4 linked regions of the Arabidopsis thaliana genome follow. The protein of the gene in region 3 interacts with the protein of the main gene of each other region in a pairwise test. Each region holds a gene or a part of one and is shown on either strand. Other genes may lie near its edges. The genes, in order: ENODL9, AT5G19570, G1 and AT5G07475.

What was found.
Region 1: the proteins of G1 (region 3) and ENODL9 interact in a protein complementation assay, tested with the Arabidopsis thaliana proteins (one large-scale study listed by BioGRID).
Region 2: the proteins of G1 (region 3) and AT5G19570 interact in a protein complementation assay, tested with the Arabidopsis thaliana proteins (one large-scale study listed by BioGRID).
Region 4: the proteins of G1 (region 3) and AT5G07475 interact in a protein complementation assay, tested with the Arabidopsis thaliana proteins (one large-scale study listed by BioGRID).

The regions. Positions count from the first base shown.
Region 1 is NC_003074.8:7,182,849-7,191,342, reverse strand, and holds ENODL9 (early nodulin-like protein 9), read left to right. Parts: upstream 1-3,821; 5' UTR 3,822-3,889; coding exon 3,890-4,076; intron 4,077-4,164; coding exon 4,165-4,589; 3' UTR 4,590-4,821; downstream 4,822-8,494. Other genes in the region: COBL10 (COBRA-like protein 10 precursor), read left to right, coding at 927-1,524, 1,774-2,252, 2,339-3,280; PDIL5-3 (PDI-like 5-3), read right to left, coding at 4,953-5,030, 5,115-5,192, 5,295-5,456, 5,557-5,778, 5,868-6,011, 6,223-6,289, 6,572-6,628, 6,809-6,883 and 4 more. UniProt on the Arabidopsis thaliana protein: May act as a carbohydrate transporter. Mainly required for reproductive functions.
Region 2 is NC_003076.8:6,602,215-6,610,662, reverse strand, and holds AT5G19570 (uncharacterized protein), read right to left. Parts: upstream 4,100-8,448; 5' UTR 3,925-4,099; coding exon 3,511-3,924; 3' UTR 3,342-3,510; downstream 1-3,341. Other genes in the region: AT5G19580 (glyoxal oxidase-related protein), read left to right, coding at 1,146-1,604, 1,743-3,068; ROPGEF10 (ROP uanine nucleotide exchange factor 10), read right to left, coding at 4,533-4,937, 5,023-5,349, 5,434-5,706, 6,051-6,125, 6,228-6,382, 6,493-6,609, 7,243-7,429.
Region 3 is NC_003074.8:19,206,498-19,215,167, reverse strand, and holds G1 (transmembrane protein G1P-related 1), read left to right. Parts: upstream 1-4,318; 5' UTR 4,319-4,504; coding exon 4,505-5,275; 3' UTR 5,276-5,653; downstream 5,654-8,670. Other genes in the region: EM1 (Stress induced protein), read right to left, coding at 1-47, 233-350; ATG2 (metallopeptidase M24 family protein), read left to right, coding at 1,600-1,693, 1,803-1,887, 1,983-2,132, 2,225-2,378, 2,865-3,080, 3,166-3,302, 3,389-3,480, 3,542-3,742 and 1 more; BAG4 (BCL-2-associated athanogene 4), read left to right, coding at 6,990-7,197, 7,373-7,629, 7,707-7,853, 7,942-8,139. UniProt on the Arabidopsis thaliana protein: Heme-binding chaperone that may be involved in cytochrome c maturation in mitochondria.
Region 4 is NC_003076.8:2,361,800-2,367,306, reverse strand, and holds AT5G07475 (Cupredoxin superfamily protein), read left to right. Parts: upstream 1-1,701; 5' UTR 1,702-1,770; coding exon 1,771-1,948; intron 1,949-2,079; coding exon 2,080-2,480; 3' UTR 2,481-2,601; downstream 2,602-5,507. Other genes in the region: KUOX1 (KAR-UP oxidoreductase 1), read right to left, coding at 1-140; PMSR3 (peptidemethionine sulfoxide reductase 3), read left to right, coding at 3,021-3,377, 4,296-4,547; PMSR2 (peptidemethionine sulfoxide reductase 2), read left to right, coding at 5,422-5,507.

The sequences.
Region 1 (8,494 bases), about 12 Mb from region 3:
ATCGAAATGAGTTATATGGCGGATTTTTTTAAAATAGATAATTAAAAATTTAAAATATCATTGATCAGATACTTTAATATGGGTTTAATCTTCATTATTTTACTTTGTTAACATTACCAATATTATACATATCAAAACAGATTGATATAATCAAAATTATGTGAAATCAAAATTATCTCCCTATATACCGCAAGTTAAATCTTAGTTTTTGATATCATGAACAAAATTATCCGTCATATGTATGTAAAAGTTGTTTGGCCAATTCAATCTAGAAGTTTCCAGGTAAATTGAACAACTTGTCTTATAAAATATTTTAAAAACTGTTACCACATAAACTGTAAATAAAATAAAAATCAGTAAGAAAATTTATGTAAGAAAAACAAAAAAAAAACTGAAAATTTACTAAATTGATAATACTACATCCATATTCGCTTTATTCAAGAAAGCTCAAAAACTCTGAACTGAAAACAAAGAACTAGTATCCAAATTATTCTGGAACCCACCGAGTAAATTTATGACCAGAGTTTGTTTCATATCGAAAATAATCGAAGCGGTGGTTATTTAGTTAGGAAACAAATTTGCTCAAAAAAAAAAAAAAAAAAAAGTTAAGCAACAAATATGAAACTCTTGTGTCCAAAATTAGCAATTGCCTTAACACACATTCTTAAATGTCTCTCCGCGTGACCACCAAATTAAACCAGAGGCTCATATTAAGACATCTTCTTTTCCAACCATCTTCGTTTCTTTGCATTAAACTTTTGGATTTTGATACTTTTTTACAGATTTTTCACATTAAACCTTATTCGTTGATCAATCTTCGTCTTTGTTTAAAAGGCTTGGTTGATTCCTAGTTTTTTTTTCTCTCTCGCTGCCTTGCGGTTCCAGTAATCACAAGGCGGTGGGGAAGAAGAAAAAGATTGATAACGATGAGGGCTATTGACGTTAAAACGGGGATGAAGATACCTTGGGACGTACGCTATTCATTAAGTCTATTTATTTTCTTATCATCAATTCTTTTTCTTTCCAACGGCCAAGATTATGGAATGCCGGGCGAGGATGGAGGAGGAGGAGCTGAGCCACCGCCGGAGATGGCACATTGTAACGGTATTTTCATGAGCTACAACTTTGGTAGCCGTGAAAGAGAGTACCCGCACGTGAAGAATGTAACCGCCCAATCATGGGCGTTTAAATCGACTGCGATGATTGTAAACGCGGGTAGGGAAGAGCTTAAGGGATGGCAAATGTTCATAGGGTTCCGTCACAAAGAACTGATCGTTTCCGCGACTGGTGCGACTCCTATGGACGGAGATTATCCTCTAGACGCGAGCAATGGAACCACGTTCGTTGGATCGCCAAACATGGATTTAAAAACCTCTATTGAAACAGCCGGTGATTTCACTCAGATATCTGCGAATATCGAGATCACAGGAACTCTTTTTGGGGTTTCAAAAGCGGTCACGCCCATGCCAAGAACTATTAAGCTCACCAACGATGGTTGGGAATGTCCCGCCGCTAAAAGAAAAGGTTAGATCAATACTCAAATCGTTTCAAACGCAACTAATTTATATTTTTTATCATCAAAATATTATTTATAGGGAAATTATGAACGCAATGCAAAACGTAAAAAAAAAATTGCGTTTGCATTTGCAGTTTATGAATCAATTTAGGTTAAATCATTAAATATTTACACTCCCTAATATAATTGTCAAACAAAAATAAAAAAGATGTGGTGAATGTGATATTCAAAACGGTGTGTTTTGTTATCTTGCGCAGGAGGTAGTATGCACGTGTGTTGCAAGAGAAACCCTAAGATCAAGAACAAGATCGGACTAAAGACAAAGTTTGCACCGAGAAGGTACGGTGACCTGAACATAGTCTACGATGTTCTGCAATCATTCGACAGCAACTACTTAGCCCAAGTGACCATCGACAATGATAATCCTCTCGGGCGGTTAGACCGTTGGAACCTGACTTTTGAATGGATGCGAGGAGAGTTTATAAACACTATGCGAGGAGCTTACACTCATAAGAAAGATCCATCGGAATGCCTTTATAGCAAAGCTGGACAGTATTACAAAGACTTAGATTTCTCCCAGGTCATGAATTGTCAGAGAAAACCAGCCATTTCCGATTTGCCTCCTGAGAAGAAGGAAGATAACATGACAGGAAAGTTACCTTTCTGTTGCAAAAACGGAACTCTCTTGCCACCTATTATGGATCCTTCGAAATCTAGATCTATGTTTCAATTGCAGGTAAATCATCTCTTTCGTTTAAAATATGTTATGAGATCGTAGAAATCTTCGGGTTTTGAAGTTTTTGTTTTCTCTCAATTTGTTAGGTTTTCAAGTTGCCTCCTGACCTAAACAGAACAGCTCTATACCCACCTCAGCATTGGAAAATCGACGGTGTTCTCAATCCTCAGTACAAATGCGGGCCACCGGTTCGTGTTGACCCGTCTCAATTCCCTGATCCTAGCGGTCTACTGGCTGTAACCTACGCCATCTCCAGCTGGCAAGTGGTCTGCAACATAACCAAGCCTAAAGCCCAAGCCTCAAGATGTTGTGTCTCTTTCTCTGCATTTTACAACAACTCTGCAGTTCCTTGCAACACTTGTGCTTGCGGATGCAATGACATCGATACCGACACTTGCAATGCTAACAGTAACCCGCTCCTCCTCCCTCCTGACGCTCTCCTTGTTCCGTTCGATAACCGAACCTTAAAAGCTAAAGCTTGGGCTAAACAAAATCACATGCCAGTACCAAAGAAACTTCCTTGTCCAGATAACTGCGGAGTCAGCATTAACTGGCACGTTAGCACGGATTACAAAAATGGTTGGACCGCAAGGTTAACCGTTTTTAATTGGAGAGATTTCGCGTTTGAGGATTGGTTTGTGGCGATTGATATGGGAAAGGCAGGTCCAGGATATGAAAACGTTTACTCCTTTAATGGAACACGTGTTCCACCAAGCAATCGAACCGTTATCTTCCAAGGCTTGCCTGGTATGAACTATCTTGTAGGTCAAGTTAATGGAACAAATCCATTAAGAGACCCTCCCGTGCCCGGAAAGCAACAATCTGTCATCTCCTTCACCAAGAAAAACATCAAAGGACTGAATATTCCCGAAGGCGACGGTTTCCCAACAAAGCTTTTCTTCAATGGAGAAGAATGTGCGCTTCCAAAACATTTCCCTAAGAAGAGCTCAGGGCATAGACGCGGTATCAGTGTCTCAATGTCCTTTGTTTTCGCAACAATCGCGGCTTTTGCACTAATGATGGATTAATTACTGAGGAGATAACTATACTTACCATTCTTGATCAGTTTTTTTGATCTTCAAATTCTTAAGATTGGTGTTTTGATGATGTTGCTGAACAGAGGAAGGATCAAAAGGAGCAGATTGTTATATGATTGATCTAAGTTGGAAAAATATTGACAATGTTGTATTAATACTTTTGTTTGGTCTATAAAAGTATTAAAGTGTATGTTGTTCTCTAGTAATCCCAAAATCTCAGATTAGTGTTGGCCTTTTTTTTGGCATGAAGAAGATCTTAGTACTTTGATTTGATGTTTTTGTGAAATCTCTCTTCGTTCTTGAAGATCTTTATCCGAAAAGTAATAATAAAATATAACACAAAGATTCTGAAGCAAAGAACAAAAGCCATTGACAGAAGAAGCAAGTCACATGAGATTCCAAAACTGAAACACTTCTGGCATTTATGCTTTGCTTAGAATTTGAAAAAAGACAATAAAAAGCTTCTCTGCAACATTTCCTCAAAATCAAAAAGCATCACCTTTATATAAACCCATTTGCCTTTCATCATCTCATATCAAACCCTATACCACACTAGATTCACCTTCACCTTTCTAAAATCTCTGTTATTTAGCTTACGAAATGGCACGAAACCTAAAGAGCATGATGCTTTGTGGGTTTGGTCTCTTGTGTTTTCTTATGATCGTTGACCGAGCCTACGCTAGAGAGTTTACGGTCGGTGGTGCAACAGGTTGGACCGTCCCTTCTGGTTCTCAAGTGTACAGTCAATGGGCAGAACAGAGCAGATTCCAAATTGGTGACTCTCTGTGTAAGTTTTTCACACTGTATTGATACTATTTGATTCGTTAACTGCAATCTTAGTTTCTTCGCATATGACACAAATTTATACAATGCAGTGTTCGTCTACCAATCAAACCAAGATTCAGTGCTCCAAGTCACAAGAGACGCTTACGACAGCTGCAACACGGACTCACCAACCGCTAAATTCGCCGATGGCAAAACTTCTGTCACGCTGAACCACTCTGGGCCATACTATTTCATTAGTGGAAACAAAGACAACTGCAAGAAAAACGAGAAGCTTGTGGTCATCGTCATGGCTGATAGAAGCGGCAACAAAAACACCGCATCATCACCGCCGTCCCCAGCCCCAGCTCCCTCAGGAGAATCCGCTCCTTCTCCACCTGTCTCGGGAACCTTTGAGATGACCCCAGCACCGACGCCTACTACTTCTGAAGACACTCCAAACAGCGCAGCTTCTTCCTTATCATTTGTCGCTGCTCTTCTTGGGGCTGCTCTAGCTTCCACTCTATTCCTACACTAAGAAGTTTCTCTTTTGTCTTCCCTTTTCATTCTGTATCGAGTCTTTTCCCTTTCCCTCTTCATCCAAGTTTGTGTCAATTGGTGTTTGTTGTTTGATTTTTTACCCCATTTGTTTTTCATGTATATGAATAAAAGTTCTACTCGTGTGTATTTTACTGATGTCATATGTATATAGTAATGGAAGGATAAGAAAAACCAGGCGGATTTTAATAGAACAAGAACCATAAAGAAACTAAGATTGTGTCAAACAAAAATTCTCTCTTTTTTTGAGTTTTTCTGTGTAGATCAGCTATTCAAAGTAAACAGTCTGAGGTTCTTCTATGGTTTTATATATTAATGGAAAATTCTAACCTCCAGTGGACGATCAAATGTTTTTCCCAAGTTCGACCTTTTTTACCAGTCTTACTGTATTGTGAAAAATCGAATCTAGTATTCCGGCAACCTGAAAAAATCCACATGTAAAATCAGAAATGACCATTGAATCCATGCGGGTATGAAGACGCAAGGTAACTGAGAAATTACTAACCGTGAAAACACCACCAATAATGGCACACAGATTTGTGATGAAGTGTGAGAAGGACTTCGGGTTTTCGGTTATTAAGATCTGCAAAAACAGACCAACCAAGGAGTAATTATAAAGAGGAAAGTATATATATTGTGACATTTTCGAGAGATAATCTCTTGTTTGTGTAAATGAGGACTGAACCTGCATAGGAGAGAGCTCAAAGTGAAACTTCGCAACGGGTAAGTAGTAAGTCTGAGCCACGCTGCTGTGAGCGGTGTATTCATATTCCTCTATCAGTGAATGTTCTTGACCGGATCTTCTTGTAATGACCTCTGTTTTGACTGTTTGAAGGTAGTGTTCGATCTGTAGAAAGCATGTTGAAAACAGTTAGATGAGAGCCAGTAAAAGAAAATTTGACGATTGTTCAAGACTCTAAATTCCTATGAAGGTTTCTGGGACTTACAGTGACATTGGCACCAAACTCATGTTGATTTATGAATGCCTTTCCATCCAGCCTGTCATGGCTTAGGCCAAGATATGGCAACAATCGCTTCATATCGGTCAGCAGCCTAGGAGAAATCATCCTCCCAAACGAAAAATGAGAAACAACATGCGACATGTTCATTTGAGAAGAATCAAATGAATGAGCTCCTGAATGAGCTGAGATCACGAGATTTCCTGGAACCTGAAACATACAAAAGACAAATTTCAGTACATGCCACAAATCAATTACAGGACATTCATTCAGTGTTCACTTTTCAGTCCGAGGTTTACCTTCTTTACACGTACATAACCTTCAACTCTACAACCTCCTGTAACTGGTCCCTTTTTAAGATGTTTTACAGTATCATTGGATTTTCCATCCAAAGCCACCTTGTGAGTCTCCGGGTGGATAGGTGCGACCAGTCCCTCCACCATCTGGAAGAAAGAAAATCTTATATGAACTTTTAGACTGCTTTCTGTTGACTCAAAACGTAGCACAAAGATATGCTGTGCATGTATATAATATTTAATCCATAGACAAACTAGACGTTTTTCAATAACTAAGTGACTAATACACCACATACACATAAATGTGAATGTTGGCTCATTTATTCCTGATACTGAAACGAAATTTGGATTTGTCTACCTTAACTATACTGTCTGTGTCCCGATCTCCATAGTAAGATTCATGTTCGTGGTGTCCATGGTCCTCTCTGGAAACATTGAAACAGGTACACTTTCATAAAATTATTTACACCAACAGATATATGGTCTATTAACCTAAAGGAAGTTAGAGAGGAAAAGACGAAAAGCAAAAATTTAAGATTTTGAACAAATTTACGGTGATGACTTCACATGTGTCAACATTTGACTGTACCGAGAACACAATTAGGAGACATAAACTCGAATTTGTCGCCACATGGATACATAAGGTTAAGTAGAAGAAATGACGAATTGTGTATAACTAAGAAACATCATATCAGATGTTTTCTCACCTAAGGTCACTGCCTTTGCGGAAAATACGAATAGATGGATAGCCTTGTATGTGATTCCTGAAAACACATTCCACGATTTATGTTAAGTCAAACGACATTCACTGCTCCCCTTGGAATTGCATCCTTGAACAGCAGGAATTAAAAAGGTGCAAACACAAATTCTTCTCTTCTTGGAAACGACTCATTAATCAAATAAGAAAAACAAGAAAATGGAGGAAAACATCAACTTCGTAGTACCTCTTACATAGCGCAGGTTCTTCCGTGCAATCAACATTTCCTAGAAGAACACGGCCATCAGCTTCAGGATCATATCTGCAGCAGAATATTAACATGAAGATGTTTCAGAAAGAACATTATCAGCCAGCGGCTTAAGAATATCACAACTTAATAAAAATGCCGAAGATTCTAACACAAACCTTTGTTTTATTATATTAGCTGCTTTCTCCCATGAAGGTTTCTGAAGCAGATAGTAGAAAATACAAAAGAAACTCATCATAACCAAACATGAACAACTTTTTCAATGTCAAACAGGAATTGAGGTACACAATACCCATAAAAGCTACATAATATGAGCGTATTATTCAACAAAAAGTTTATTGTCATCTAGAATTCGTAACACAAAATAGCAAACCCTATACCCCTTTAGCACAAAACAACAGGCAATATGAAGAAAGTAAGTTTCCCTATAAAATGACATGTCTATGATTCCACATATCGTGATTGAATATATTCACAAATAACAGTCAATAACGAATTCAGGAAGATTCTTTCTCACTCGGTCAAGCAGGAAAAACAAGTTATTATGAGTACATCCCCAACTGGATCATTAGTGCTTGTATACCAGAAGAAAAGTAAAACTTCAGAAAATTGGAAAGATTATAAGCATAAGTAATTACCAGACGATTACTCCAGTAGCACCATGGTGCATTAAAGTTAACAACCAATATTGGAAAGCTGCATAAAGAAATTCAATTTTTGTTAATCGATATTCAAACCATCAGACAGGACTCTTATGCATGCACAATAAAAAAAGAAGAAGCTGCCTACTCACTGATGTGATAATGCTTCAAAACTAGCACTGGTCAATGGTATAGCACCATCAGGAAACTCTTCCTTAGTTTCTTCTCCATGGTTTATGTTATGTAATGCAAGGCCAGAGTGGAATTCTGCGCCGGTGGACCTTAAATGTGGATCAATTGGAAACTTGCGAACTGTTTTTGTTATATTCAACCTATTCTGAAAAATTAAACATCAGAGAAGTAGATTTAGTTTTCTGAGGGTATATATATCATAACTCCGTTAAAGGCGCTCAGTCTTGCTTTTAGTATAAAACATAGGATGTACTGCACAACTGAAACGGGGACTCAGGGATTAGGTGATACGGTTGAAATTTCAACTACATGATTAAAACTTTCCAAACAATTTTATTCTTGTTTCATTACAGCCGGACAGCATTATTAAGTTTTTCCTAGCTTTGATAGCGCCAATTACTAATAAAATGGAATCAGTAAACATTGGATTAAATCCATATCATCATTGCACAACCAACTCAACATGCCAACACGAATAGTCTATCATATATCACATAAGCAAAGATACATTCTCTGATACTGAAGAAAGTGTCAAGATTTAAGCTTTTCCTTTCCTTTTGCATTATTGCTTTTTGAATGATAATCACAAAACATTTATAGAGAAATGCATTCTAACAGTGGGACTGAGAGTTGTGAGTAGAGAGACATACCGTTCCCAAGACATCGCTCACATCAACGGATGCAAATTCACAGGAAAGAGCAGGAAAACTACATATAGGTAAGAAACAAAAACAGTCAACTTGTAAAGAAAACCATTCCATTTCTTTATTATCAATCAAGCATTTGACAAAGAAAATAAAGTTCGAAAAAATATCACAGCAATTATTCAAAA
Region 2 (8,448 bases), on a different chromosome or scaffold from region 3:
AAGTATATTACGGAAATCCAGACTAATCTCAAGAGACATGTAAAAACCCGGTATTCTTGTCACTACTGGTGTTTACCGTGGCCAAAAGGTTAACTACAATGATTTTCATAGAGAGTGTTACTCGATCCTCGACTTTGACATGTATGGTGACTTGGTGAGTCCTCGACAAATTCAAGAGACCATTGGAACACACACTATTGGTCACGACTATATTACGAGAAAGATTGAATGTTATGGAGTTAAGGATAATATGTATTTAGAAGTCTTTGATTATGTAAGTTAGATTGTTGTTAGTTTTCAATGCATGGTGTTTTATGTTTACACTATGTTTGATAAAGAAAGTTTATGTTCTTAAACTACAATTACTTTAAGTACAATCTTGTTCACTTTGAAAAATAATAGGGTCCTACACAATTATACGTCACCGCAATTATTTATCTTTATAGACATTGCTGTTTTCAGTTTCATAAAGACTAACACTAGATATATAGTCACTTCCCTCAACAAGGAAAACAATTATCAACGTCGGGACAGATCTACTCTGATGCTTGTTGATGTGCAAGTCCACTGCAGCCAATTAAATGTTAACAATGTCCGTGACATGCATAGTCATTATTGTTAAGTTGGCTCATTTGGGAATGTGTTAATCATCTATTAATTATGTTAGTTGAGAGTTTGTTGCCAATCACGTTTCTTTATTACTTTTCAAAATATGTGTAATATGTATAGTTATGTGTACGTATTATGCAATCCTTTACCCTTTGGATCAGCCCCATGATGGTTTGTAAGGAAATGGTCCTTAACTTTATGACATCAAATTAAGAAATTGTCTGCATGACCACGTCATTGTAAAAAAAAGGGCACGAGAGACAGATACGAAACACCAATGTTTTCTTCTATCACAGAAACTCCACAAATCTATAGGCTGTTTTGGGGAGACGTCTTCTTACCACACATTTAAAAATAGCAATTGCTAATAATAAACGTAAGTGAAATAACAACACCTATAAATCACGCAGAGACAAGAGCTTGTTCTTCAGGCATCACAACAATCAATATAAGCCTGGGATCCAATTTTCTTATTTCCCCAACCAAAACAGGGGAAGAAAAAAAAAGAAAACAAAAAAATCAAAAAAAATTAGAAAATGAAAGCCTCAACAAGAGTCATATGGACAATATCTGTCCTTATGCTCGCTGCTGTGTCCGAGGCCATCTTCCCTCTACCGTTTCTACCGTTCCTCCCTGGGTTCAACAACGGCTTTAGGGACAATGAGGCTGTCAAGGTTGCGAAACCACAGCCTGCAGGAGCAGTTGGTGGAAAAGCCGCAAGAAGGCAGCGTGGCGGCGGTTTAGACGCTCAGACAACCTGGGGTGGTAAGTGGGAGCTCTTCTTGGAAAACTCGGGTGTGTCAGGGATGCATGCGATCCTTATGCCAGTTATCAACAAGGTCCAGTACTATGACGCCACCATTTGGAGAATTTCAAAGATTAAGTTGCCTCCAGGCGTACCATGCCATGTCGTGGACGCTAAGACTAACAAGGTCGATTGTTGGGCTCATTCGATTCTCATGGATGTCAACACCGGCGCCCTTAAGCCTCTAGGGGTATGTTCAAACTCACGACACCATCTTTTTTTTTTTTTTTTGGGCCTAGGCCTAGACACGGGTTATCTTCTTCTCATTAAATAGAATCATATTATACGAACTTGAATTAAATATTTGCATTCACATGTTTCATGATAGCTTTCCACCGATACATGGTGCTCATCCGGAGGTCTGACCGTAAATGGTACATTGGTGAGCACTGGAGGATACGGAGGAGGAGCCAACACCGCGAGGTACCTATCCAGCTGTGAAAACTGCAAGTGGGAAGAATACCCTCAGGCATTGGCCGCGAAGAGATGGTACTCAACGCAAGCAACTCTCCCTGACGGAAAGTTCTTCGTGATTGGTGGAAGAGACGCCTTGAACTACGAATACATTCCTGAGGAGGGACAAAACAACAGGAAGCTCTTTGACTCATTGCTCCTCAGGCAAACAGACGACCCGGAAGAAAACAACCTTTACCCTTTCGTCTGGCTTAACACCGACGGTAACCTCTTCATTTTCGCTAACAACCGATCCATCCTTCTAAGCCCCAAAACAAACCAAGTCATCAAGGAGTTCCCTCAGCTCCCAGGTGGTGCCCGTAACTACCCGGGATCAGGTTCTTCCGCACTCCTCCCCATCCAACTTTACGTGAAAAACCCCAAGGTCATCCCAGCCGAGGTTCTCGTCTGTGGTGGTTCCAAACAAGACGCGTATTACAAGGCTGGTAAAAAAATATACGAACCAGCACTACAAGACTGCGCCAGGATAAGGATCAACAGCGCAAAGCCACGATGGAAGACGGAGATGATGCCAACCCCACGAATCATGAGTGATACTGTCATCCTCCCTAACGGAGACATCCTTCTAGTCAACGGAGCTAAACGTGGTTGTTCAGGCTGGGGATATGGTAAAGACCCTGCCTTTGCTCCCCTCTTGTACAAGCCCCATGCTGCACGTGGCAAGCGTTTCAGACAGCTCAAGCCCACCACCATCCCACGTATGTACCACTCCAGCGCCATCATTCTTCCAGACGGTAAGGTTCTTGTCGGTGGCAGCAACACCAACGACGGTTACAAGTACAACGTTGAGTTCCCAACGGAGCTTCGCGTTGAGAAATTCTCCCCACCTTACCTCGACCCGGCTCTAGCCAACATAAGGCCAAAGATCGTCACCACCGGCACCCCAAAACAGGTCAAATACGGACAATTCTTCAACGTGAAGGTCGACCTTAAAGAAAAGGGAGCAACCAAGGGAAATCTCAAGGTTACCATGTTAGCCCCTGCCTTCACAACACACAGTATCTCAATGAACATGAGGATGCTCATCTTGGGTGTCAATAATGTCAAACCTGCTGGTGCCGGTTACGATATCCAGGCCGTTGCACCACCAAATGGAAACATCGCTCCACCGGGTTACTATCTTATCTTTGCCATCTACAAAGGTGTTCCCAGCACTGGAGAATGGATTCAGGTCGTCTAATGACGATAATTTTTACCCATTTTGTCTTATGACCGTAACATCTTAATATAAAACAATCACATAATATCAGTTTTTTTTTCCTTCTATATATATTGTTTATGCCACCATTAATGGATCCAAATTACTTGTGTTTTCTTTCACTTCTATAAACTTTTCCGTTCATGTAAACCTTTTCGGTGAGTTTTTATGACTAAATTTTGTATTGGAGAAATTCTTTTATTATTACTTTTGGCTCTATTCTTTCTTCACTAGTTCGGTTTTGCGTATAAATCATTCGATGCGTTCATTGCAAGTCACTGTTTGTTTCATTGACTAGTAATGTTAATTACCTTCGATAATATTGCAGAGAGTTAGCTAAAATTCTCAAAAGATGGTACACAAATAGTTCTTTCGCAAAATAGATCTCACAGAAACAGAGTCACGGTTTTACAAAATTCGAATTTCACAGAACACAAAGCCAAATTCCAAATACAATAAAGCTCGTACCTAACAAAGCAAGTCCGATTTGAGTTTCTTCCCCTAAAAGGATCCCAAAAGCGGCGGTTGCGGCAAAGGTTGTGGCGTTAGTCACCGGAACGGCAAGAGAGATGGGAGCGTGACTGAGAAGGGCGAAGAATGTGGCGGAGGCGGAGAGGTTTATGAGGAAAGGAATTGAGTATTGCCAGAAGAGGAGGAGATTGATCCAGTCGCGGAGAGCAATCATGATTTTGCGGCGGATCTGAAGAGGAGGAGAATGAGATTCTGTTGTCGAAGAAGACTTTGTTTTATCCCAGGCAAGAGCGCCACGACGGATCAGAGCATTGGTGGCTCCCCATACGAGCCCTACCGCCACCATCTTATCCATGTCTTCCTTCATCGCCGGTGGCTGATCCCGATTTGCCTTTTCCGTTGTTCTGTGTTTTAACCACTAAATGTTGAGTAAAGGAGATCAAAAAGAAGAATTATTTGGATATCCAGAACCGACCCGAACCCGAAAGGTACCGAACTAAACCCGATCCGAAAAATTTAAAAATCCAAATAACGGACCCGAATACCTGAATAGTCCGGATGGTAAACACAGATCAATGGTATTATCACAAACCACTAAATTACATGTCGTCATCAAATAATGTTTCATTACAATACTACTACACTACTAGTCATTATCAATGAGCTTCAAAATCCATTAGGAAACAATGTTGTAGATTAGACGTTACAATACAAAACACCAAAGAACAAAAATACCAAAATATTGTTACACACTGAATCACACTTCCTTCTTAGAAAAAACAACAGGAAGCAATAGTCAAAACAAGCAACAATCATGATCAAACACCAAGTCTCATGTCCAAATCCTAAAACCAATGCCTGCATTGTTATATATGTACATTCTCACACACTTTAACCTTCTTCTATTCTCTCTCTCTCACTCTCTTTGTGTTTTTCTTCTTCTATGCCCTGTTCTATTACCTTCTCTTTTCACTATCAGTGTCTGTCACTAGGGCTTCTCATGTTCTCTAACTTTGCTAGATATGAAAATTTCTTCGGTAGAGCTCTTGGAGACTTCATCATGGGCTTCTCCTTCTCCTGCTCAACTTTGTGGAAGAATTCTATATCACTCATTGAACTATGCTTCTTAGTATCAGATGACAATCTCCACCCTATGAAGTCTGATAGTTTCCTCGAGTTTGGTGTTTCCGCTGCAACCACCTTTTCAGTTTCCTCGTATTCTGATTCTGCCTCGCTTTCTGATCTTGTCTCTGCCTCTCCCATCAACTGTCTTTGAACTAGCCGATCGGCTTCAAGAACATCCTCTATTCTTGACATTATCTTTGAAGCAAGACTCTCTAGTACCCTTGAATAGCTCTCCAAAATCGCCTGTCCAACATCCTGTAAGATCAAATCACAACAAACTCTTACTCAGTCTCACTACATTTTTGTTGATGTTTGTTTAGTCTTTGTTATGTTATGTTACCTTGTTGTTTTTAATCTTGGAGACTTCAAGGGAGGATTGTGGGATCCCAGGAAATTGTTGTTTGAGCATAACCAAAATGGTCTCAGCTCGGACTTCGAAAAGCTCCCTCTTCTCTAAGCTAACAGTGGATCCCCACTGAGATTTCCCGTCTTTCTCTTTCTGGCACATCTTCCTCTTCCAGATCACCATGGAAGCTTCAATCCTGTTCTTTAGATCAAGTACTTTGTGTTCCGTTGACAAATCCAAGAAAGAGACAAAGTAGTCAGGATCAAAGCTCTCCTCTGTTATGCTCTTGTAAAGAAAATCTCCCAAGCTTGTCTTCCCATTCTACATAACCAACAGCCTCATCAGCTTCCTAGCTTAGTGGAAATTGTAAAGAAACAGAACACTTTTGAAGAAGAAGTAAGTAACCTTTGGAAGGGAATCAATGTAGTTTTCAGGAACGTGCATTTCAGACAATACATGAGCATTGATGGCCGTGGCGGCTTTAAGGACTTGAGCCACAGAATCTTTCTGATTCTGCAACCATCTACGTGATTCCTCAGACAAGCCATCTGTTGGAACCTTAACAACTGGTAACCACCAGTTCTCATCCCTCCTCCAATCTCCATTGTGATCTGCATCCTCCATATCTCTTGGCACATACCAAAAGTCTTTCTGATCCTTGAAGTTGTCCAAAGTTTCCTGCCAAATGAGTAATTGCATTAGTATGATAAATGGTCACAACTCATCTATTTTTGTTTGTTATATATATATATCATGATCATTTTATAATACATGCACTCCTATATGAAATTAATTAATGAGATGGTACTCTTGGTGTTATGACGTTTTCAGTTATATTTATCTTTATAATTTGCAAAGATGACTATGACTTGTAGTATATATAGTAGTTTGTCCTAGTGTCATGGATATTGTTGCAAACAAAATATTTTTGAAACGATGTGGTGTTTGATATAATATAATGGTTTAATTTTTCCCAAACGTTGAAACCGCGGTTGAAACAATCAAGTAGTAATTAAACTCACGAGAAGAACCGAGTCAAGTTTGCGTAAAGCTGGAATGTTCGTCAGCAAATCATCTCTTTGTTTTGTAACCATGATCTACAAAGGAGAAAATTAGGGTTAATAAGAAAAATCGTCACTAGTAGACTAGTAGTTGTTATATATGTACGTAATTAATGACTAACAGTTGCATGCATTCACCTCAGTGAATTGGCCATTTTTACCCATTTGTCTAGAAGGAACAAACTGGACAATGTGATCAATCACAGATAATAACCAACCCATTTCTTTCCTCCAATTCTCTTTTGTCTCCGGATACATAGGCTGCAATTTCATCTGCTCTCCAAACATCGAATCTGCATGCCAATACCAAAGCCACATTAATTAGTTTGTGACTTATTTTAACCATTCAAATCGTTATTAGACATTTAATGTTTTAATCATATTAGTAGTGTTAAAGGTTTACCAGCGAGTTTGGTGATGGCGTTTGACAAAGCTAACGCAGAGGTCTCCCCTGTCCCACCGCCTGACATGTCCTCTCCAAGAAGCAGTTTTGCGAATCTTTCCTTCATCACTTCCATGTCTGAAACAGATATCAATACAAAGATTATGTAAGGAATCCAACATAGAATAATATTAATTAAATAGTTATCAAAAATATATAAATATTAGTTAAAGAACTCATCTTTATACAACGATATTGGTAATTCTACTCTTACCAATTGATTTTCAGATCCAACCCATGCATCTTACACAAATGCAATCTAAATGCAATTCATTATGCTATATACAATACATCTAATGAAGATATTAATACATCTAATTCATTGTGGTTTTGGGATAACATTTTATTCGTTTATGTGGTTATCAAATTTAGCAATAATTAATTATTGCGGATCACATAATTTTTTTCCGTGCAATAATATCATTTTCCTGTCTATATATAATTTATAAAATGAGGACTTCTTATTTCGGTCAATATATATAAGCGGGTAATAAATGATTTAGAGATTCTACATTATCATTAATTGGAGCATTAATTAATTATTGGTGCAATGGATATATTTACGAAAATATGAAATGGATATTTTTTAGAAATTCTTTCACCTAAAGTTTTCTTTCTACCATTATATTATCTCGAAATAAAATTTTCATTTCCATTAAATTAAAATTTTGCCATTACCATTTACCAAATAAACTTGCACTAATATGTTACCTGATCTCCTATTTTGCTTGCCTCTACGAGTGGATGGTGCAGCATGTCCGGCGAGTTCGTGCTCGGGTGTATGCATGCCATCCCCACGAGAAGAGAAAGATGAATGTCCAGAGTTCCGACCATCGAACATCTTTCTAAAACTAAAAGATCTTGGCCAGCTTAGTTTACGTCCTAATGTCCGCACCATTCCCAATTTACTCCTCTCAATTTATATCTCTCCACACACTTTTTTATATTTCTCTCTTCTTTTTTCTTGTCTCAGATCGTATTATATAAAAGAAAACAAAGCAAATGAAATCCACAAAATGGAAGAGAAGAAAGCAAAAGAGACGTACAGATCAAGCAACTAGTCCTTTAGCTCTCCCTTGTCTCTGTTCTTTCACCACCGAATGAAACAAAACTACTTTATGTTCTGTACTTTTTTCTTTCCAGTTGTTTTATGTTTTTGTTTTTTAGTTGGTGCAAAATGAATGAAACAGAGAAATGTTGAAGTAGTTTTCTAGGGCTGGAGAGACAACGTGCGGTCCATGTTTTCAAAAAACAAACAAAAGATAAATAGTGGAAGGGCGGTTAAAGATACTCCGACTTTTCCTTAATTTATTTTATCTTTCATTTGTTTAGAATTTTACCTCACGCTGCTCAGGTTTTGATTCACTGGAACAATTTCGTGTAAGAAAATTGTTCGTTATTTGAACTAATCCACATTTCGTTAAATGAGCTTGTAAGAACATTTTCTAAATAAAATATGTCTACAAAAATGTGACTGGCTCAACCGATTAGAAAAATGATGTTTTAGAGTTACCCGCCGGACCGAGTTAGAATCCTATGTGCTATAAACTTGGAGAGGGATAATTTATGTTTTGTGGATCGTTATTGTTTAAGCCTGATCTCGAATTAAGTAAGACTATGGATCAAATATAGCTGGAATTTACAAACTTAATAACTTAAAAAGAGAGACAATCGAATTTTAAAATCAGATTTTGACTAATTCGTTAGTGCAACAGTAGCATGGAGGCATGTAACACGGCGACTCTTTACCAAGTCTAAACATTTCTGTTTATCCTACTAATTTAAAAGATTTGATTTCAATATCTTATAATACTGCTTTAATCGTTTAATCACGTCGTGTAATTTATCACTTTGAAAAGTGGTGTTTATGACCATTTTCTCATCCACTCACTGATGTATAAATATTGCATTGACATT
Region 3 (8,670 bases):
TTCATGTCCTAGCTGCTCCTTCCTCGTCTGCCCTCCCTTGCTCCTTCCTAACAAGTGTACATACATGCATTCCATGAAACATGGAGATCATAGAGTAAACTTTAGGTTCGTAATAAGTAGATTAATCTTATCTTAAGATATTAAGATCTAATGTTTCTAGCCTTATAAAACCATTACTTACGAACTAAAGAAAATAAAAAGAGTGTGGAAAAGTTGTAATTTACGGCAATACCTTCAGCAAGATGCTCTTGAGCTTCGAGGCTGTGGCCACCGGTGCCACCTGGGACGACGGTCTCTCCTTGCTTCGCCTTCTCATCAAGCTCTTCTCTGCTCAGTTGCTTTGACGCCATTTTTTGAAGAAAAAAACACGAACGATATGTAATTAAGTAAGTTGCTTTTAATTTGGATCTATGTTCCGACACAGATACGGACGACGTAATTATTCCTATAAATAGAAACGTTTGTGTTCCAAAGGAAACAAAAGGAGAGAAAAAGTGAAGTGCTACGTGGAAGAGAAGACGCGGCGAGACTAGAAATAATGGGCTTTACGGAGATGACACGTTGATGCTTACTCAGTCAACTTGCTACAGTTATTAACGAGCTGCTTGACACGACTCCGATTAATCTTAATCCATTTTCTGTTTCCCCCAAGAAATCAAGATAATTACCCACATTTGGGATTTTTTATAAAACTGTTTTCCGTGTTAGGTCTTTTCAATATCAGTTAGATAGTACTATTATTTATCTATTTGAAATCTAAGTGCAATATTTCGGATAAATATGTTTTAAAGTTAAAAGTTTTATATTTATTCACATCATAAGAAAAATATAGGTGTTATTAGAAGAAGAGATTTATAAATCGATCACACATAATAACTGGGAAGAGAAGGTAGCTTCGAGGATTAGTTGGTTTACTTGTCGACAAAGTCATATCTACCATGTAATAATTAGGTCTTTTTCAAGTTTTGAGTTTGGAGACATTTATTTGAGTTTGACTTTGGTCTTATTATATGCTTGGGCTATTGTACACGTTTGACTCATGCTGATTAGAGTATGTATAGTTAAATATAATAATTAAAATGTTAGAATCTGGTGTGGATTAGACTTTCGCGACATTGTTGAAAATTTGTGAATGCATCTATCTAAAAGTTGGTTTAGTGGAGTTTCTATGTGCACAACTGAAGTACATCACTATATTTGGACAATATTGAATTATATTTGAATTTATTGTCTTGAAGAATAATTTGCAACATTACATACCAAATGTTGGCTCTCTTACGGAGAGCGTATAAGCGCCACTTGACGTGGGCTTATATGGGCCCGGTTAAGGGTAAATGTTTAGTGGCCACAATTCTGAAACAGCTTCCCTTCTTCGGCCCATACTGGAGTACAAAAGTAACGCAATTAAGAAAAAGCGTTACAGGATTAATCCAAAACGGCATCGTTAGAAGAAGAGAGCACACATAGCGAAAACCCTAGTACCTTTATTTGAGCCAACACTTTCATTTCTCTCCTTCTCCACCAGTTTTCCCCCAATCGCTCCTCCTTAAACCCTAACATTTTTGCTTCCCCTGTTTCGATTCTCGAGAGTTATCAGAGATGAGTTCGGACGATGAGAGAGACGAGAAGGAGCTGAGTCTTACCTCTCCTGAAGTCGTCACCAAGTACAAGAGCGCCGCTGAGATCGTTAACAGTAATACACCCTCTCTTTCTTCCTTTCTTGTTTTAAGTCCGATTTGGATTTAGGGTTTTGAAGGTGTAGCTTTATCGAGTATTGATTTCTGTTGGGTTTTCAATTGCAGAGGCGTTACAGGTTGTTTTAGCTGAATGCAAACCAAAAGCTAAGATTGTTGATATCTGTGAGAAAGGAGACTCTTTTATTAAAGAGTGAGTATATCTCAATTTGTTCTTAATGTAGATTCGACCTTGGATTACTCTTAGATATTTATGTGTTTGTTCTTTCTTCTGTTTTTGTATTAAAGGCAAACAGCAAGCATGTACAAGAATTCTAAGAAGAAGATTGAGAGAGGTGTTGCGTTCCCTACATGCATTTCTGTGAACAACACTGTTGGTCATTTTTCACCGCTTGCTAGTGATGAGTCTGTGTTGGAAGATGGTGACATGGTTAAAATGTAAGTTGTCTTCAAGTAATACCTGTTTTTAGATGTTTCTGTATGATTCACCTGTGTTATTTCTGATGTTGTTTTGCGTTTCTCAATTGCAGCGATATGGGATGTCATATTGATGGGTTCATTGCCCTTGTTGGTCACACACATGTTCTTCAAGAAGGGCCTCTTAGTGGGCGTAAGGCTGATGTTATCGCTGCCGCAAATACTGCAGCTGATGTTGCTCTAAGGCTCGTACGTCCTGGAAAAAAGGTATCATCAGTTTTACTCTTACATTAAACTTGAAACTATAGGCTTTTGGTACTATAACTGCCTCTTGAATGATTGTCAAGGTTTTACAAAACCCAGATGATGAACACTTAATAAATGGCTATGGATTATTATCCATATGATGCTTTTTTGTCATAGTTACTCTGATGGGATTTTTCTTATTCTGATTTTTAGTCTGATCCCTCGTTGGATTTACTATGAGATGTTGGAACTTTGTCTAAGGTTTTCCTCTCTTGGTCTTGCACGATGCTTTTTTTTTTTAGCGGACTTCAAATGTAAATTGTTTTGGGAAAAGATTTCTGGATGAAGACCGTAATTGTTATGGATTCGCATCCAAATGAGGCCGTAGTTACTCTGATGTGGGAAAGTTCTTTAAAATAAAGTTTCTTGCTACGAGTTTGTAGTTTCTTGTTTAGTACTACAACATATTGCAATCAAGACATTGATATTCTGTTTTTCTTATCGCAGAACACTGATGTAACTGAAGCTATTCAGAAGGTAGCTGCAGCTTATGACTGCAAAATTGTTGAAGGTGTTCTTTCCCACCAGCTGAAACAGCATGTGATAGATGGAAACAAGGTTGTGCTTAGTGTATCCAGCCCTGAAACAACTGTTGACGAAGTGGAATTTGAAGAGAATGAAGTCTATGCAATAGATATTGTGGCAAGTACTGGTGATGGCAAGGTAATTTCTTTTGTTTATCGCATCCCGATCACTATTGGTGAACCTTTGTCTATTGCCATTGTTCTCACAATCTTTGACTTTGCAGCCAAAGCTATTAGACGAGAAGCAAACAACTATTTACAAGAAAGATGAAAGTGTTAACTATCAGTTGAAGATGAAGGCCTCCAGATTCATAATCAGCGAAATTAAACAGAACTTCCCCCGTATGCCATTCACTGCAAGGTGTCTTTTGTACCTTCTGAAGCATTTTATATTCCTTAAACTATTATCTCACTTGCTAACGTTACCTGAGAGTATTATCAATACAGGTCACTGGAGGAGAAAAGGGCACGGCTTGGACTTGTGGAGTGTGTGAACCATGGTCATTTGCAACCATATCCTGTTCTTTACGAGAAGCCTGGTAAGGATGATGAAAGGGTTTTGAATCTATAAACCTCTTTTATCTGAATCTTGATATCAAGGCTCATGTCGTTTTGGTTTTCTACCAGGGGATTTTGTTGCTCAGATTAAGTTCACAGTTTTGCTGATGCCAAATGGATCAGATAGGATCACTTCACATACACTTCAGGAACTTCCTAAAAAGACCATCGAAGACCCTGAGATCAAAGGGTGGTTAGCTTTGGGCATCAAGAAGAAGAAAGGTGGTGGAAAGAAGAAGAAAGGTAAGAACTTAAAATAAATTTCCAGACTTTTACCTTATATGACGTGATCCACATGTTGATTAAAAAGGTTCAATTTGGTGTTTTGCAGCCCAAAAGGCGGGAGAGAAAGGAGAGGCTTCAACAGAGGCTGAGCCAATGGACGCAAGTAGTAATGCTCAAGAATGAGTAGGAAGATTTGTCTTTGTTTCTTTTAAAGAATTTTTGAAACTTGAGGTACCTCTTTCGTTGTATGTTTGGGTTTCAAGAGAGTCTCTTCTTAAACAAAAAAAAACAAACAATAGTTTACCACCTTTGTGCATATTTTTGCACAAAGCACTTTTCATCATCATTTCTTTGCTTGTCCTAATCTTATCTCATTCTCTAATCAAAAATACTTATCTGGTTTCAGGCTATAACAATAACTCTGTTTAGAAACACTTGTTACCAACAAACTACTCTTTGAATGTGTTTACGTGGTAAGGATTTGATCCCACAGAAGAGAAATATTTGTGACAGAAGAAAAAAACTCAGCTCTTCAATAATCGAAGCTTATACAGATTTTTGGATTGGTTGATTTTGAGATTGTAACGAATAGTAATCAGAATTTCACTTAAGAAATTGTGATTGAACCCTCTAAACCACAGAGAGGGTTCTTGACGTGGTCCATAGTTCTTCAGTGGGGCGGCTTGTGGCTTCTTTTTCATTTTTCCAGAAAACCCCATAAACCTCTCGCTCTCGGGAATTTGATTGATTCCCACGAGGAAAAATCAATCTTCCCGGAAAATGGCAGCTAGGTTATTGTTCCGTCGAAGTTCTCAAATCCTCCGATCAATTCAACGAAATCCTCAAATCTCATCGTCATTCGAATCACCACCTTGCCCGATTTTTCACTCATTGACCACCGCCTCACCAGATCCATCGCGATTATCATCCTTAACCTTCCTCCGATCTCTCTCCATCGCTCGTCGCGGTCCAACACGTCCTAAGAAAATCGATATCGGAGCCAAAGCGCGTCAGATGCAGAATCGCCGTTTATGGACCTACGCGCTAACCTTCAGCTGCATCGCCGGATTCGTAGTTATCGTCCTTAACCAATTTCAGGATCAGCTTGTCTTCTACCTAACGCCATCAGACGCTATGGAGAAATTCGCAGAGAATCCAACAAAGAACAAATTCAGACTCGGTGGTTTGGTTCTAGAAGGTAGCGTTGCGCAGCCGGCGGCGTCACAGGAGATGGAGTTTGTGATCACTGATCTGATCACTGATATTTTGGTTAGGTATAAAGGATCTTTGCCGGATCTGTTTAGGGAAGGTCATTCAGTTGTGGTTGAAGGATTCATTAAGCCGTATACAGATGAAGTAAGGAAGGAAGTTTCTACAAAACCTATTTCGAAGAAAGCTAGGAACCTCGATTGTTTCTTCTCGGCGACTGAAGTTTTGGCTAAGCATGATGAGAAGTATATGCCACAGGAAGTTGCGGCGGCGATTGAGAAGAATAAGAAAATTATTGAAGCGGCGGCGACTGAACAAGCTGCTGAAGTTGCGGCTTCTTAGATTGGTATAAACTTCATTCTTTTTAAGTTAATCAAAATTTTCCCCAAGTTCGAGCTTTTGGTGAGTATTGTTCATCTTATAAGGTTATATTTGATTATAGTTTCTGGAAAAGAGTAGGAAGATTGGAATGTTATATTCCTGGAAAACAGAGATTTGATTTTTGAGTCTATTTGAGAATTAAGTGGAGAAATGTGATACACTATACAATAGCTTTGTTTGATTCCACAAAGCTATAAGCTAATCTACTTTCTTGTTGTGTTGATCAAATAAAGAACACTTTGACGAGGGATCAAATATGCTGCTTGATTCATTGTGTTGTTGGATGTTTTGTTTGTTGTTGATGTGCACACAGATTAGAGAAGCTATGTTTTGTTGCTGCACACAGATTAGATTGATCTAGTGAATCTTATTAGCTTCATCAGGTCGTGGGTATATAATTGTAAACGTATCACCAAAGTTGTAGCTTGTGTGACCTTATTCTTATCATGACTAGGTACTATAGCCAAAAGAGTTGAACATACAGGTCTTTCAGAGCTTCCTCTTAGTTGTTCTGGAGGTTCCAAGCTCTTTCTTTGTTGTTTTATAAATATGGGTTGAGCTTGTTGACAATCTTGAAGATGGTCATGCATTCCTTTTATGCATCTTATGTTTCAACTAGGCAATTCTGGCCCTGGAGATTTCAAGTTTGTACTTTCTGAGTCGATTAGGTGCCTAGTTTTTGCCTCTAGAATCATGGCATTGGCTTCTGTTTTGGCACTTCTCTTAGGCTTGTTGGTTGATAACCAACTACTAGTCTACTAATGTAGCTGTAGTTTGAAGTGTTCCGCAGTTACGCTATTGCTTTTGCTTTTTTTAAGTGCATCTTTATATATGCATCAGTCTCTCATTGTATAGCAAATTTATCGTGGGTGGTATATGATTCAGTCAACAAAAACTGACTATCAAGTATGGAACGAGTGGTATATGATTGAGTCATCAAAAATACTGACTATCAAGTATGGAACAAGAGCATTACGATATTTGTCACTACTATATTCGATTGCTATTGTGTGCTTGGTCCATTTTGAATATGGGACAAATCACCATTACTATACTTGCTGCCCTATACTAACTAGATTATTCCATATTCCTCGTAGATAGTTTTTGTTTTTTGGTTCAGAGAAAGTTCAGATTTTAGGCCTATAAGTTCTTTTGGTTGGGGACCATATCAAGTTAAATCTCTCACTATATGCATTGTGGCGGTTCGGCCGACCTGTCTAAAATTGGGCTTGTTCAAATCCTGCCTCAAATCCTGCCAAAGCGTGAGTTATATACATATACATTGACACTGAATCATTCCATCCAGGGCCGGTTGGCTGGATCCAAAATCAGTCGTTACCTATTTTTGGCAATCTTAAACTTATTGATTTTTTTTTTCTGACGTTTCACAAATCATCATCATATGTGAAAAACCAAAACATCTATATTAAGAAGAAAAAAAATATTGTTACAATTTCTGAAAATATTTGGTTCATTTAGTCCTTAAAAATTCTAATTACCAAAAAAGACAAATATATAACAATTGAAACACATGTGTGTTATCAGGAGAATTTGTATGTTTTGAGGAGGTGTGCATCATCCGTCTATCAATACCCTGACAAGGAAAACCCTAATTTTTTTTGGCCCAAAGGGTTTTATACTTTAATCTCATACTCCGATTCATTGTCGAAAAACGATGATGCATAATTCAACCGAAGAATCGGAATGGGAGGTGAGACCTGGTGGTATGCTCGTCCAACGAAGAGACGACGCCGCTTCCTCCGACCACAAACCTCTCCAGGATCCCGACTCTGCTTCCGCCGCTTTTGCTCAAACCATCAGAATCACTGTTTCTCATGGCTCATCGCACCACGATCTTCATATTTCTGCTCACGCCACTTTCGGTAACAAAACTCTCAGCTCCGTTTCTGATCCATCGCCTGAAAATTCCAAATAATCGAAGCCTGAGAGAATTTAGCGTGATTCATTATGAAATTTTTCTTGCTCTATTTAGTTTTTGTTGAAGTTGTGTTAGTGTAGTTGAAGATTGATATGTTTAAGCTCGAATGTGATAACTAGGGGATGTGAAGAAAGCTCTTGTTCAGAAAACTGGATTGGAAGCTAGTGAATTGAAGATCTTGTTCAGAGGAGTTGAGAGAGATGATGCTGAACAATTGCAAGCTGCTGGTGTTAAGGATGCGTCTAAGCTTGTTGTTGTTGTTGAGGATACGAATAAGAGAGTGGAACAACAGCCTCCTGTGGTAACTAAAGAGATGGAAAAAGCTATTGCTGCTGTTAACGCGGTTACAGGAGAGGTCGATAAGCTCTCGGATAGAGTGAGTTTTTATAAGCCTGTATTTCTTTTGGAGATGACGGAAGGATTGTGCTTAAGCTAGTTTTTTTTGGTAATTAGGTTGTTGCTTTAGAAGTTGCTGTGAATGGAGGGACGCAAGTTGCGGTGCGGGAGTTTGACATGGCTGCAGAGCTTCTTATGAGGCAGCTGCTCAAATTGGATGGCATTGAGGCTGAAGGGGACGCTAAAGTACAGCGTAAGGCTGAGGTTAGTTTTCTTGCTTTGTTAAGCATGTTTACACGGTAAGAGTGTTAATAGAGTTGGAAGATATATGAGTTGTGGTTTGTGTTGGCAGGTACGTAGAATCCAAAACTTGCAGGAGGCTGTGGATAAGTTGAAGGCAAGATGTTCAAATCCGTTTGTGGATCAGAGCAAAGCTGCAGCTGTAAGCACTGAGTGGGAATCGTTCGGAAACGGTGTCGGAAGCTTGAACCCTCCTCCGCCAGCTTCGCCTTCGGCCAATGTAACTCAAGATTGGGAGAAATTTGACTGACATTTTAGTACTGCTACGTTGCCTTGGAAAAAAATGCTTATTGAAACTGTTTATCTTTTTGATTATTGTTAAATATTGGAAAACGACCATCGTCTTTATCTTCTAATGTATAGATATATTATATATAGTATCGGAAATCTACATCTCTGTACGTTATGTTGGAATAATCCCTGGGAATAGTCTTTGATGTCTCTCAGTCTCTGTCGTGCCTAATTGGCTTATGTCGTAGTACTAAAGATTATGGCTACGAGTTTTGGAGACACTTTTGCATATGTGTTTCCATGTTCTAGTAATCGGGAGCTCAAGTTCAATTTGATGATAGCGATAGTGTTGCAAAAATGATTTATGTTTACTGTTACATGTTTCAATCCTTATAAACTACAGCTTCGAGGGAAGATTGCCTCAAACTGAGAAGTACACACTACAAGCCAAATAATGCAAAGTTAAGGTTAGTTTCATTTCAAGAGTACGATCCGTGCTTTTTGGATAAAAAATACATTCTTACCCAAAAACTAGAAGACATTCTTAGCT
Region 4 (5,507 bases), on a different chromosome or scaffold from region 3:
ATAGTGGGTACGATTCCGGAATTTGAGTCACATGGTTTGCTAGAAGGCGGGACGACGTAACAGTCAGGTACATACGGTAAACTCCTCTCTTGTGCAGAATTCCCCATTTTGAATGTGCTTGAATCCTCACCTTTCTCCATTATTGGTATTTGAATTTGAGTGTTGAGAAATCGGTTAATATTGTGAAGGGATAACTAAAATGAAAGTGTGAGTGGCTCCTCTATATATAAGGTTTGTAGGCTTGTAGTCGTTTATTGATATTTCGGAGTTATATATTAAAATATGACGGTCGAATACTAAATTATTATTCTTCCTTTTTGGAATATCTAGAGCATGTGTAACTGTCAATTGTTTATCGTGTACCAATAAGAAACTAAACTTTATTATCAAAATGATAATATAATGAACATCCATATGTTGTACGAAATGTATAAGAATGTCCAAATTCATATATGACGAGGGATATTAATAAGATGTTGGGATATAGTAGGAAGTAGGAACACTAACATGGATTTAATTTTTAAATGGAGACTTCGATCTCATTCATAGTCCCAACTACTAAAAAACAAAAAGAAGCTTTCCGCAAAAAAGCATCCTCTTGTCCGGATTTCAAGCCTTCATAAATATGTTGGACACATATGTGAATGCATGTACAGATAAATTCGATATATATGTCGTTTGAGTTGTAACAATTCTGTAAAAATAATAATGAAATTGTTATATACGGTCATGCGTAAGGTCTAGGTAAAATGTATTGCGCCGGGTTCCTTCATGCAATGGGCATTTATCTTCCTTTGGGAAAGACAAAAAAATGTCTGATGTCACATTGTCACTGACATTAAAATGAGAATTTTCAATCATAATTTAACACAACTAGCAATTAAGAAATAATATTACATCGATTTTTCATCGAAATACAACTACCTAGCTTCTAGTGATATACAGTATTAGTACTATTTTTCGTTGGGTATATTAGTTAATTTATAAATACGTAATACGTAAATAAAAGTTGCAAACAAAATGTTCATCCTAGAAATTATATTTTAGGACAAAAAGAATTGTTTTCTTGTACATGTTTTAAAAATTCGACTATATTTTAACTTTTTATCCCAAAAGGCTAAACCATATATCTAGTATAATTTTTCGATCATACATGTTCTAGTTCTGATGCTCCAACAACTATAAAAAGTGTTACAAGGGAAATTCTCTGGACGCATATTATTAGGTAGGTTTGGTAAAGAGAAACACTCAGGATTAGTCGAGGAGTTATGGTTCAACACCCCTTCAATGCCAATTCCAAGCCCTCTGCAAGTATTTTCGAGAAAAGGAAAAGTACATAACAACTAATATCACCATTCCACAAGATCATATATAAATACAAGCATTATTTACTGGCCATTAAAATCTTCCCTATATTTGTATGTTGTGCAATCAAGAACAAAAAATAAATATGAATTACTGCTTCAATATCTCCATCAAGATTTAACCATTTTAGGGTTGTGGACTTTAACTAACAGCATATGAATCATATGAATTGTGAAACACGAAAAATTTGTTAAGAACAAAAAAAAGGCTATAGGGAACAAAGCAGATCATATATGTTGTGGTGGTTGTGAAGTTAGGTTATCCACCAATGAGCAACCTTAACCTATGCCTTATATAAAAACATATATATTTCCATAATTCCATTCACACATATGCATATAGACAACTATAGCAATACAAGAAAATTAAACGCAATTTATTGAGAAAATACAAACAGCGTGCACTATGAAGAAGACGTCGAAGATACAATTTCTTTTCAATCTCTGCATCATATTTGGGGTTGTAGTAATAAGAAGATGTAACGCAACGACATACTTTGTAGGAGACAGCTCCGGTTGGGACATAAGCTCCGATCTCGAGTCTTGGACTTCAGGCAAGCGATTCTCTCCTGGTGATGTTCTAAGTAAGTATCTTTGATCATGTTGGCTTCATCCAACTATATATATACTACATAATTAAAAACTCAAATTAATTTACAGTTTCCCTTAATGAACTAATTAGTCTAATTAATTATGTGTATAATGTTTTTGCAAGTGTTCCAATACTCATCGACGCATAGTGTATACGAAGTGGCTAAAGACAACTACCAAAATTGCAACACAACAGATGCGATCCGGACGTTCACAAACGGGAACACGACCGTTGCTCTTTCCAAACCGGGAAACCGGTTCTTTGTATGCGGTAATAGGCTCCATTGCTTCGCCGGTATGAGGTTACTAGTCAATGTTGAAGGCAATGGCCCATCTCAGGCTCCCGTGGGATCTCCCCAAGCCGCCACTTCAGGGATTCTTCAACCATCTTCTAAAAAGAATAACCCTGCGACCGGAGTCGCTAGCTCAGCCGCCCGTTTTGTTGGCGACAGCGGTTGGAGGGGTACCATGGGAATTTTTGTATATTTTATGGTTTTTGCTTTTCCATTCATATGGTTTTGCTGATTAAAAACTATCTATAATAAGTGTTTTCATGTATATGTGTATTCATATTTGCCCTATAATGAGTGAGAGTATTTATTTGTTGAATTTCTTTATTTTTGTTTGAGTTCATGACCAAATTAAAACCTAAATTTTTGGTTCGTTATACAAATTTCGTTTTGTTTGCTCAGCAAATTTCTTACAAAAATGACATGTAAACAACGTTATGCTTAAAGTTATTAATCAATCAATGTATAATAAAAAAAAAGGAATTAGATTCTTTGACTACATTGAATTTGTATTTGTTCGATTCGATAGCGGAAAATTCAAAAAATAACCGATATCGGTTTATATTTTAGGTAATTTTATCTGGTTCGGTGTAGTAAATTCACCGTTTGACCGTATCTATATCACAGATGATTCACTGCGATTAAAAGTTGTGGTTATCACTATCTAATCGTGATCGCTACCAAAACGCAAACGCTAGTTACCGGAAGACACGTCTTGAGTTTCGCAGCATCTCTCTCCTCTCCTCTGTTCATATCTCTCTTTAGAAATTTCTCAATGAACATACTCAACAGATTGGGTTTGGGATCAAGTGGGCAAACCAATATGGATCCTTCTCCGATCGCTCAGGGAAATGACGATGACACACCGGCGCCGGGGAATCAGTTTGCCCAATTCGGAGCTGGATGTTTCTGGGGTGTCGAGCTGGCGTTTCAGAGAGTCCCAGGGGTGACTCAGACCGAGGCTGGATACACCCAAGGGACCGTAGACAATCCTTCATACGGAGATGTTTGTTCTGGTACCACAGGCCATTCGGAGGTTGTTAGGGTTCAATATGATCTTAACGATTGCACCTATGAGTCTCTGCTTGATTTGTTCTGGTCTAGGCATGATCCCACCACTTTGAATCGCCAGGTATTTTTGGATCCAAGAGTTGAAAGTTTTAACCTTTCAAGTTCGGGGATTGAGAAAGATTCTGTCTTTAGGATTATTGAATCTATTGGGATGTGCCTGAGTCTGTTGTGCTTTGGGGATTTCTTGATTTTTCTCAAATCTGATAGCTTTCTGATTTTCATCACCAGTCTTTACTTTGAAACTTTTTAAATTTGGAACCTTGATCATCTAAGTAGAATATGAGGAAGGAAATGATATTGAATCTTGATTTTTGTTGAATTATGAGGCTTGAGTTGGTAACTTTGGTCGTTGATCTTAGTATGATCCAGATTATGTAGTAGCTCTGTAATCTCTCCCCTGTTGCTCCCTTTTTAATTGAGGTAGAGATACGGATTTCAGAGAGGTTCTTCTTGTTCTGTTCATGATCATTGATTAGCATTGGATTTCATGTTTGTTTATATTGATGTTAGTTTGGCTTATCATTTGTCTTGCATCTGTGCGCAGAGAACTATAATCATATGCAAGTTTCTGCTAGTTTTGTTTGAGAAATTCACTAGCTTATAGTCAAATTATCTCGTTGGGGTTCATAGCGAAGTATTCTCAAATTCTACGCATGTACGAAACCAAATCGTAAGCGGTCTGTTTAGGTTATATGGTTTTAGCAATTTCTGTTGTTGCAAACTCGGGACAACTATCTCGATGATGTTAACCTTGTGTATTATGATGAAAAAAAATCCTATTTATGCTTTTTTCCGACAATTTACATTTGCATCTTCTCTGACTTTCAATAGCATATACTGACCAGTCTTATGACTGTTTATCTCATGAGTTTGAATTCTCTGTGTTTACTATCATAATTTTAGTTTAAGTACTCAGTTTTCTCGGCAGCCTACTTCCATGCTAAATTGATACTTTGATTTATGACTTTGCTGTGATCAGGGAAATGACGTGGGAACCCAATACAGATCTGGAATATACTTCTACACACCCGAGCAGGAGAAACTAGCCCGTGAGTCACTTGAACGTCACCAGCAACAAATGGAGAGAAAGATCATGACTGAAATCTTGCCAGCTAAGAAATTCTACAGAGCTGAAGAGCATCATCAACAGTATCTGTCAAAAGGTGGGCGGTTTGGCCAAGGGCAATCCACTGCCAAAGGCTGCAACGACCCAATCCGCTGTTACGGCTAATAAGCTGCTTTCCTCTGTCCCTCTCCGAAAACAGAGGACTTAGCATCAAAGGACTTGTGTGTCAAATAGATTGTGTAAAACTTGACTAAGTTGTTCACACGCTATGTAACTACTTCTTTGGAATTTCATTCGCAATGTTGTAATATTGATGTTATACTCTATAAACATAAACCAAATAATCATTGCGATCCTTACTAGATCTAAAAAGCCATCAACATGGTAAATGTAGCCAACGAAAAAAAAAAAAAAAAAGAGTGTTGGAGGGCCATTCCTTTATTAGAGTAATGATTCTCTAGTTTTGATTGCATAAACAAACGTGCCCACCAACCTACAAGTTGCATACTTGCATGATTGTTTATTATTAAGTCATCCTTCATAGTTCATATAATAGAGCTTAGAACTAGCTAGTTGAGTAATTGACCCAAAAAAAATGTGAACGGTATCAAAAGTCATTTCATAAACACATGTTTTCCAAGTTTTGATCAATATTATATCTGACCAATCTATAGATTGTCTTTCTCAAATACGAATTGATCTAAATAATTTCAGACCAACCAATTTTTTTGAATTATGTTTCCAAATTATAATGATGGTTGTTGGATTTTTTTTTTAAATAGATAGTTGATACAGTATTTCTATATACAATAAAAGAAATGACGCGTAATATATCCATTATTCATTAACAATTTGACCAAATTATAAATGCTACACATAGTATTGATTGAATGTATTTTTCTTGTGTGTCAAATACTACTTACATTGAAATATGAATATTCCTATTTAGCGATGATTTTTAGGTGTTAATCTCTGACTAGCTTCTTTATATATATAAACGAGCTTCCCGAGGTCTCATCATCAAACAATACACTTAACAATGGATTCTTCTCTGAAAACTCAGGAACCTCAAGTAGTGGAAACTTCTCCTTCTCCGGTAGCTCAGGAGCCTCCTCAAGTAGCTGA